2 linked regions of the Drosophila melanogaster genome follow. The protein of the gene in region 1 purifies or fractionates together with the protein of each later gene. This does not show direct contact. Each region holds a gene or a part of one and is shown in the gene's direction. Other genes may lie near its edges.

What was found.
Region 2: the proteins of sbb (region 1) and tll purify together in Drosophila melanogaster (affinity purification with western blotting; one study listed by BioGRID). This does not show direct contact.

What each region holds. Positions count from the first base shown.
Region 1 is NT_033778.4:18,354,102-18,359,184, reverse strand, and holds the start of sbb (scribbler), read left to right. Parts: upstream 1-1,888; 5' UTR 1,889-2,047; exon of another isoform or gene 2,048-3,129; 5' UTR 3,130-3,685; intron 3,686-5,083.
Region 2 is NT_033777.3:30,850,223-30,855,095, forward strand, and holds tll (tailless), read left to right. Parts: upstream 1-2,092; 5' UTR 2,093-2,324; coding exon 2,325-2,400; intron 2,401-2,521; coding exon 2,522-3,804; 3' UTR 3,805-4,178; downstream 4,179-4,873.

The sequences.
Region 1 (5,083 bases):
CCTTGGTATTACCCTCGATAGGAAGCTCACCTTCAGCAGGCACATCACAAATATTCAGCAAGCGTTCAGGACCAAGGTTGCTCGGATGTCTTGGCTCATTGCACCACGCAACAAACTGTCGCTTGGCTGCAAGGTCAATATTTACAAGTCCATATTGGCCCCCTGCCTGTTCTACGGCCTGCAGGTATACGGCATTGCTGCGAAGAGTCACCTTAATAAGATCCGGATCTTACAGGCGAAGACCTTAAGAAGAATTTCGGGGGCTCCTTGGTATATGAGAACAAGAGACATCGAACGCGACCTCAAGGTGCCCAAATTAGGAGACAAGCTCCAGAACATCGCCCAAAAATATATGGAAAGGCTTAATGTACACCCCAACAGCCTAGCAAGGAAGCTAGGAACTGCAGCTGTGGTCAATGCTGACCCTCGGACTAGAGTCAAAAGAAGACTCAAGCGACACCACCCTCATGACCTCCCTAACCTGGTTTTGACCTAGAAAGTCTTAGTTTTAAAATTCATTAGAATAATCAAATAAATAATAATTACTATGTTATATCAACTATTATAATTCTCCCTATCATTTTTAGGATTAAAAATCTGTTAGTCTTAAGTAACCAAGACACATTGTAAAATAAAATAATTTAAGCAGATCAAATTAAGTTGCCGCATGGGTAACAGTGCGTTGATCAAATAATAAAAACATCATCGAAAAAAAAAAAAAAAAAAAAAAAAAAAAGACAAATGTAATACAGTGCTCAAATATACAAATATTTAAACAAATAGGCTTGTACCAGCTTAACCTAAGCGCTCCTGATCTGAAACTTGGGCTGAGTGGAACTTATTTGCCTTTTGCATCGGCGACTGCTAAAGGCAACTTTCAAAATGCTGACGACGAATTGAAAATGCTCATGTTCTGCAATGCACCCTATATATGTAAATGTATACATATGTATGTATGTATATACAGCAAGGATATTTCTTGCCCATCATCATAATAATAATAAGGTGGCACAGGAAGGCGAGAATTACCACTGTCAAAGTTACACAAAGGTCAAATGGAACATTATGGCTTTATTTTGCGCCTAATAAATCTCATTATGTCATTATATGCTACTCCCCCAACCGCCAGCCCACCAACGAAAAAAAAAAAAACAAGGAGGAAATGGTCTTTGGTCGAGGAGATGGTGGAGGTGGTGGTGAGGTGTGTGCGTGTGCCTGCCAGCGTGCGTGTGGTGAGAAGGTGAAAGACAATAAGAAGGAGCAAACGGAAAGGAAGAACAACTACAACAAAAGGCAACTGACTATAGGCGAACGACATGCCAATCAGTAATCAATCCTCAGGACCCCACCAAAAACAATTTGCAGAGGCATAGCAATAACAAGAGCAACAAACGCAATAACACAAACAACAACAGCGGACAAGTGAGAGACCACACGACGGCACTGTAAACAAATTGGAAAGGGATGAACATACATAACTGCGCAATATGGCGTCGGCAGAGCAAGAGAGCGGGAGAGGGCACTAAGAGCGCACGAGCAAGAGCGAAAAAGCCGCCATTAAAGAAATGCCGCTCAGAGACCGTTTGTGTATGTGCATGGGAATGCCAGTGTGTGCGATGTAAGCAGTGGATGTGTGTGTAGAAAATGCCGCAGGGTTGTCAAGTGGCTGAGAATATTAACAAGTAAATAATCTTTTTATTAGTAAATTGTAACTTTATTGCTTTTAAGAGTTTGAAATCGCGATAACTATATCAGAGAAGCATTCGACTAAAAACAAGAATTCTTTCGGAACCATATAATTACCGAAATGTATTTGTTATTTTTCCCCATATAGCCGACAACCCTGCGCGTTGCTAGCCAACTCTCGCCTCTCAATTTATGCGCTTTTGTACGCGTTGCTCCTTCGGTTCGTTCGGACAGCACGGATAAAACGCTGTCGCCAAACAAAAACATAAAAAACACTGAGCGGATCAGGTTCTATCTTTAATTAAGAAAAACAACATCCCAAAAACAACAAGCAAGAAGGACTAAAATCTGTGGAAAAGAAGTAAGCAAAGCTGTTCCCCAGTGTGATTTCCTCATGTGCATTTAATGTAATTCAACTCGACAACAAAATAATAAGTGTTGTTGGCCTCTCGCTCTCTGGTCGTACCGCGTATCTGTGTGTGCGTGATTTAGTGTTTCGTCGCGTTTCAAGCAATTAACCCAAAGCAACGTAGAAATGCCAAAAACGCATTAAAAATTATTACTCGTAGCTGTCTGTCATTCACAACAGAAAAAAAAAATGAAAAGAGAAGAGTAACAACAGCAACGAGAAGAAGGAGGAGAGCGACAATCATACACAAGTGCTATTTGCCGCTACTCATAAAACAAATTACCCACTTGGGCCTGACTTGTGCGTGCGTTTGTATGTGTATCTCTGTGTGTTAAAAGAGCAGCGTAATCATCATCGCCAAAAAAAAAGGAAAAGAAAACTACTAAAAAGTAGTAGTAAAAAAAGAAAGGAAAAGGAGACGAACCAAAATGAGAGTGTGGCACTGGCAATATGTTGCTGCCAATAACAACAACAGCAACAGAAGCTTCATCAGTTGAATAGTACCGGAATAAAATTACTATACAGCCACTGCATGTGCTTGTGTGTGTGTGTGTGTGTATTGCGCTCTCCCTCTCTGTCTCTTTCTTTCTCGCTCGCACTGCCAGCCGCTGTGTATGTGCAAAGCTTTTTTATGTTTCGCACAAACATTGCGGTAAAAGAACGCCGACAAACGACGAACCCGTCGTCGCTTTGTCGCTCTCGCCAATTTCCGCGCGTGTGCAAGGTGAAGTCGCGTCGCGTCAGTCCGTCGGTCGTATAGTCTCTCTTCGTGTCCACTTCTCCCCTCGCTTGCCGTATCTCTGTCGTGCAACAACTCCCCCGTGTATTTTTTTTCTATGCCCCAAGCTCTGTTCACCGCCTCTCTTGCTATGCATGTACACGTGTATGTGTGCGGTGGAGCAGCTTCTGTTCTGCCAAATACATATGTACAGGCGGAGAGAAGGCAAAGGCAACAGAGCTTGGACACGCGCTCCCTCTCTCGTCGTCTCCCTCCCTCGCCTTACTCAAAGTGCCGTTTTTTCGTGTATTTGTAGAGAAATAAAGAAAAAAACAACAACTAACCTCATAAAAAAGTTCATACATTTGTCGCAAAAAAAAGAAAAATAGAAAAGAGAAGCAAATGCAAAAAGTGTCAAAGAAGTGAAAAACAAGCAGAAAAAAGAAGCAGCAGCAATAGAATCCAGCAGAAGCAGTGAAAAGCAGAAAGAAAAGCCAAGTTTGACTCTCTCTCTCTTTCTCGCTCTTACATAAATGGAAAATAATTCCTGAGATTGCGCTGCTAGGAAAATTTTGCGGATTTGCATTTCACCTTCCGTTAGCTCCGGGAGCTGGGAGTTTGGGAGTTTCTTTTGTGGATTATTACGCCCTCTCGCGTGCTCTCTCACTCTCTCCCCAAACCCCCCTCACGATAGTCGCTCACTGTGGGTGCGAGCAAGCCAGGAAGCAAAGGAATCATCACCTGCCCATCGCCACCCACTGCTCATTGCCACCCGACCCCCGAGCCTTCTCTTCATCTTTTGGATGCTGTCTATAAATCGGGAACGCGCATATTCAGAGCAGAAATTGCGACTATTTTGGATTTATAAAAAGGTAAGTTACAGTAATTATTATCGAATTTAGACTATCTAATTAATTTAATTTACAATTGTAATAGAGTTAATAAACAAAGAGCCAACATTTAGCTGCAATAAAATCTCTATTGTTTAAGTTTACACATCTCTAAGATACTCCACACTTTCTCTCTTGCTCGCACAGCACAGATACCTATTGAGTCAGAAGGAGAGCAAAGAAGAGAGGGAACGAGAGGGCATGAGCCTAAATTGATTTCCAGTTTGATTAATTACCGCACAAGTATTCGTGTACACATTTTTTTTTTTTCATCGAGTTAATGCCAATTAAGGCGTTTCAATCTAAGCCGATTTGTAATTAAATGGAGTTTTTTCTTGTTATTTCGAGCGATTAGAAAATTGACAGGCCGGTTGGTGTGCTTGGTTTTTTTATTATTTATTTTTTTTTTTTGTATTTTGTTTGTTACCTTTTTGAGATTTATTGAAGTGGATTTAATTTGGGTTTTTGTTCGGCACCAATGGAATGGAATTTCGTTTTGCAAGCGTAATGTGGGAAGACAAGCGGAATTCGCGGGTCATCAAGAAGAGCGATGAGAAAGGGTGCAGCGGGGGGCATGGGAATCGTTGTCGAAATGGAAATGCGAATCGGAATCACGCTCACCTAATGAAGCCTGCGGCGACGCGTCAAGCGAACCGAATGGCAAACAGCGCGCAGCCGAACGATGAGCGATAAACAAAACAGTGGAGCGGGGGTGGGGGTGCAGGTGGGGTTGGGGCATTGATTGGGTAAGGAAGGGAGGGGGGCGTCACTGGGCGTGTTTTGCATTTACTCGAATTATGAAAATGAATATCGGGTGTATGGTGCTCTTTTTCCAAATGGAAAAGTTACATTTCACTTATTTCCCTTTCTTAAAAATATGATGTTTCTTAAGTGAAAATATTTAGTTTTATAAAAAATATTACTTAAAACCTACTGGTTATAAACTAATACTATGCTAATCTTTCACTGCCCACCTATCCATTTGGTCATAAATTAAAACCCATACAAAATACATTTCCTTAACGAGCATTTCTACTTGATTATACTGCTTATCTGTGCAAATTTAAATTCGCTTCTAATTCCGGAAGCAAAATCTCCGTTGCCTTATCTTAAGTTTATTTAAATTTAAGTTTATATAGTTGTAGATAGGGTTGTTGTTTGCGTTTCTCGTTTCGTTTTGTTTGCTCATTTCTCGATTTAATTAAGTAAACATTGCAGACGCATTTCGGGTAAACATGCCAAAAGTGTTTATTTAAACAACTGTTTAGTCATAAATGCATAGATACACTTGCCGATATGCACACATAGCTACAGATACGCACACGCAGATACAATTAAGCGACTATTAGGCAGCGCTCTCTTGGCCCGGCCATAACACTA
Region 2 (4,873 bases), on another chromosome or scaffold:
TCCGTAACTACAACTTGATGAATGACAAATTGCTTTATTGCCACAATCAAGAAATGTTATCTCTAAAATTCCAAATTAATTAAATAGTAATTTTAAATGTATTGGCCCTTGGAAACTGTTTAAAGAACTATGCGAATTGACTATTACCACATATTAGTTGTTATGTTAAAAGCAATGACTAAATTTTCGCTTAGTTGTGAACATACTCATACAACGTGGGAAGATCGAACAGATGCAGCCTCCTCATCTGCATATTCACGAGTTCCCACAATTATAATTACTTCAAACTCAATGAACGGTCAAGGGAATGTCAAAAATTGATATGTCATCGTCATCTGGTTTAGTAGAGCATCCTCCCCCCATGGAAGTCCAGCTAATGATCGGAATAGCAACACACGCAAGCGAATTCCCATGCAGCACACCTGAGTTCCAATTAACCACCCCCTCCGATTCAGCATCATCCAGGGGTTGACTAGTCCAATTAGAACCCCTGGACATTGCAACCCCTGGCGACTGTTGTTGATATCATGTCAAGCATTTTATTGATCAAGTTACGCATCCGTAATACGAATCGAAATATAATTGCTCTTTTCAAGTGTCTATCGTATATCAAATGAATTGCATTTGCATCTCCGCCCTTCTGCATTCGAGTCCGTTCGAGCAGAGAGCTGTTCCCACGTTCGAGGTCCTGGATCAGGATCACATGGCCTTAGGCGTTGGTGCGTAATCGCACCAGACTTACAGGATCTTGCTTAACATTATTAAGTACTCGCCCGATGCTGGGACCTCGCACAATGTCTTTCTTTTGAATTCGCTGATCCCGAAGACAGAAAAGCTTGATCTAGCAGCCTCCCGACCAGCGTGCCTTTTCCAGGCAGTACCACTCCCGCGATCTAAAATCCGTAATCTGCTTAAGCGGCGAGCTTAAGTCGAGGAATCGGTGGGTCCTTCGGGACTTGGCAGGACCAAGCGAGATTAGAGGCACTGTCCACTTGAATCCTAAAGGCTCTCAAAAGGCAACGCCTAATCTGGCTCAGCCGCGGGAGCTACTATCTCAAATGGCTAGCTCCCATTTTAGTAACATGAACCTTTGATTTTAACAACTCCGTTTTGGGTTTACTTTAAAATAATTTTATTTATTAAGCATTTATAAAAATTATTATTAAAAACGCAATCTGAGCTCCGCAATAATTTTCATAAAGTATTTTTAGATTGAACCTAAAAAGTTGCCAAAGCTGGCTAAGAAATGCAAATATTTGTTTTTTATTTTAATCAGTGCATATATTTTATATAGGAAATACGTTGTATTTGGTTAGCAGAAGTTATTCCAAAATTTAATTTTATGGGGGAATCGAAGAATTTGTTTAGATGCTCAACATTATAATGCACTTTCTTAATTAAAAAATGTTGAGTACATTTTTTAAAAATTACGATACAAAATTCATACTCAGATTTGTGTAAAATTGATAAGCTCAAGAAATCTGTACAATCTGATATCTATCAAAGTCTTTAGATTTATCATTTCCCTAAACATTTATATGGTTGCATCATAAAAACCTAATTACTGAATGGAAAACAATCAATAGTGCGTGGTATTCAACCCCTGCTGCTACTATCGCCACTCGAAAAGGACTCGCCTCGCAGGACTAGAAGCGAACCCACAGGTACTTCACACAAATCACAAAGCGGCAATAATGGCAGCGCCATAAAATACTCGGCCATGGATATGGAAGGATATCTCTTCATTAACAACTGTCGCAGGACGGGCAGAGATTCTCTGCTGCGAGAGAGGGTAGCAGACGGACGAGGAGTTCGCGTGAGAGAGCAGGTAGTGAATCCTGCGGAAAAGGGCCATAAAAACCGAAAGAATTGAGAATGAGAATGAGCGACGGCTGCTGCGTTCCTTGCTCAATGAATTTTTCGCAATGGCAGCCTGCCGCAGGATCGAAGGATTCTCCAGGGGAGAGTGAGAGAGGATATGCGAGAGAGGGCATTAGAAGCAACCCTCTCCCGAGTTTCGACCAATGAACGCGGAGTTTGTCTACCTAAGGGTGATCGACTGCTCGATGAATGGATTTGGTCTGCAGGACTATTAAAACGCCGGCGGTCCTCACAGCAGACAACACAACCCATCGTGATCTCAGCGAGTCCACATCGGAGTAACCAAGGATATATCGAATATATCACACAATCCGCAATACCGCCGTCCACCCAAACCGTTAAAACAAAAATCCAAAACGACTCAAAGATACACCAGTGCCAAGTGAAATTCAATTTGTGCAAGCGTTTCTACAAAAATCGCCAAAATTACGCCCCACATCGGTATGCAGTCGTCGGAGGGTTCACCAGACATGATGGATCAGAAATACAACAGCGTGCGTCTTTCGCCAGCGGCATCGAGTAAGTATAGCAAAAAAAAAAATCAGATAGCAATGAAAAAAGAAGAAAACAATCTTCCTAATATATAAAATTAAGACAATCCTTTACTTATACCAACTTTCCCCCCTTCTTGAATTTCCAGGTCGCATTCTATACCATGTGCCCTGCAAAGTCTGCAGAGATCACAGCTCCGGCAAGCATTACGGCATCTACGCCTGTGATGGCTGCGCCGGATTCTTCAAGAGGAGCATTCGGAGATCCCGGCAGTATGTGTGCAAGTCGCAGAAGCAGGGACTCTGTGTGGTGGACAAGACGCACAGGAACCAATGTAGGGCTTGCCGACTGAGGAAGTGCTTTGAGGTCGGAATGAACAAGGATGCAGTGCAGCACGAGCGGGGACCGCGGAACTCCACTCTGCGTCGCCACATGGCCATGTACAAGGATGCCATGATGGGCGCCGGCGAGATGCCACAAATACCCGCCGAAATTCTGATGAACACGGCTGCCTTGACCGGCTTTCCTGGAGTACCGATGCCCATGCCTGGCCTGCCCCAGAGGGCTGGTCATCATCCTGCTCACATGGCTGCCTTCCAGCCGCCACCATCGGCTGCCGCTGTCTTGGACTTATCCGTGCCACGAGTGCCCCATCACCCGGTGCACCAAGGACACCACGGTTTCTTCTCGCCCACCGCCGCCTACATGAATGCCCTGGCCACTCGGGCCCTGCCCCCCACTCCTCCGCTGATGGCAGCTGAGCACATCAAGGAAACCGCGGCGGAACACCTATTCAAGAACGTCAACTGGATCAAGAGCGTACGGGCCTTCACCGAACTGCCCATGCCGGATCAGCTGCTCCTGCTGGAGGAGTCCTGGAAGGAGTTCTTCATCCTGGCCATGGCCCAGTACCTAATGCCCATGAATTTCGCCCAGCTGCTGTTCGTCTACGAGTCCGAGAATGCCAACCGGGAGATCATGGGCATGGTGACCCGCGAGGTGCACGCCTTCCAGGAGGTGCTGAACCAACTGTGCCATCTGAACATTGACAGCACCGAGTACGAGTGTCTGAGGGCTATTTCGCTCTTCCGTAAGTCACCACCGTCGGCAAGTTCTACCGAGGATTTAGCCAACAGCTCAATCCTGACAGGAAGCGGCAGCCCGAACTCCTCGGCCTCTGCTGAATCCAGGGGTCTTCTGGAGTCGGGAAAAGTGGCGGCCATGCACAACGATGCCCGGAGTGCGCTGCACAACTACATCCAGAGGACCCATCCCTCGCAGCCCATGCGATTCCAGACGCTCTTGGGCGTGGTGCAGCTGATGCACAAGGTCTCAAGCTTCACCATCGAGGAGCTGTTCTTCCGAAAGACCATCGGCGACATCACCATTGTGCGCCTCATCTCCGACATGTACAGTCAGCGCAAGATCTGAAAAGTATGTAGAGCCTAGACTAATCGCCGCACTCGAAGTGCCTTCCAAGTGCTGGGAACTGTGATAATCTCGGAAGAAGCGCTTTGGACAATACTCGATCAGTGAAATCAACGATTTCTCATATCCAGGAGTCGAGCCTTAAAATACGTACACAACACTCACCTTAATACCTTACCTAAACAGAACTCGAAGTAATCTTAGCTAAAGTCTCTCAGACCATCCAGATGTGTTTCAAATTGCATTCGCAAAAGTTTCAACTTTGCCTGTTAAATACGTCAATCGTAGTTTTAAACACTTTAGTTTTAAGCGCATATTATTAGCTTTAGGATTTGGAAAAATAATTATTCAAAATAAACCTAAAGGTTTTCGAAATGAACATTAATGGGTCTTTTTGGGTGGATGCAATATTTTGGAAGAAATGGAACTGACAGTTTCAGAACTTGGATTTGGACTATCGGAAGTTTTAAACTTGAAAAAATATATTTCATTAATTAAATGAAAAAACGTAGTATTCACATTATTTGAAAGGTCTTTTGGTTTTCAAAAGCTATGCTTAGAAAAAATATATCTAAACTAAACAAGAAGTAGGTCCTAGTTATTTGCGCAACTTTTGTAAGCAGCTGAAAGTGTTATGCCAAACATGGAATCATGAGATTACACACGGAATTATCATTCTTTTTATGGCCATTTCGTGAGGCTTTTCGCATCCTTAGAGACGACAAAGCAACCGCACAGGGCAACCCAGTTAATCACAAATGAATTATGCAAATACTGGAACAAAGAAATATTAGATCGCAGAAGAAACCGTGGAAAATTAGCATAGTTTTTCTGCATGAACAGACCAAAGTCGGCATTAATTTGGGAACCTGAGGGACGCAGTGCAATGGCCGCCCCAGTTTTGATATCCTTTCTCTCCCGCCCCGAAATTCGAAAAGTTAAAAAGCAAAAATTCACTTTTGTGACTTTGTCGAGCGGCGTTGGATCGTCGCATTGCTGGCAGGACCGGGAACGGGGTTTCGGGGATCGGGGATCGCTCTGCCGGAAGGACAATTGAATCCTTTCACAATGG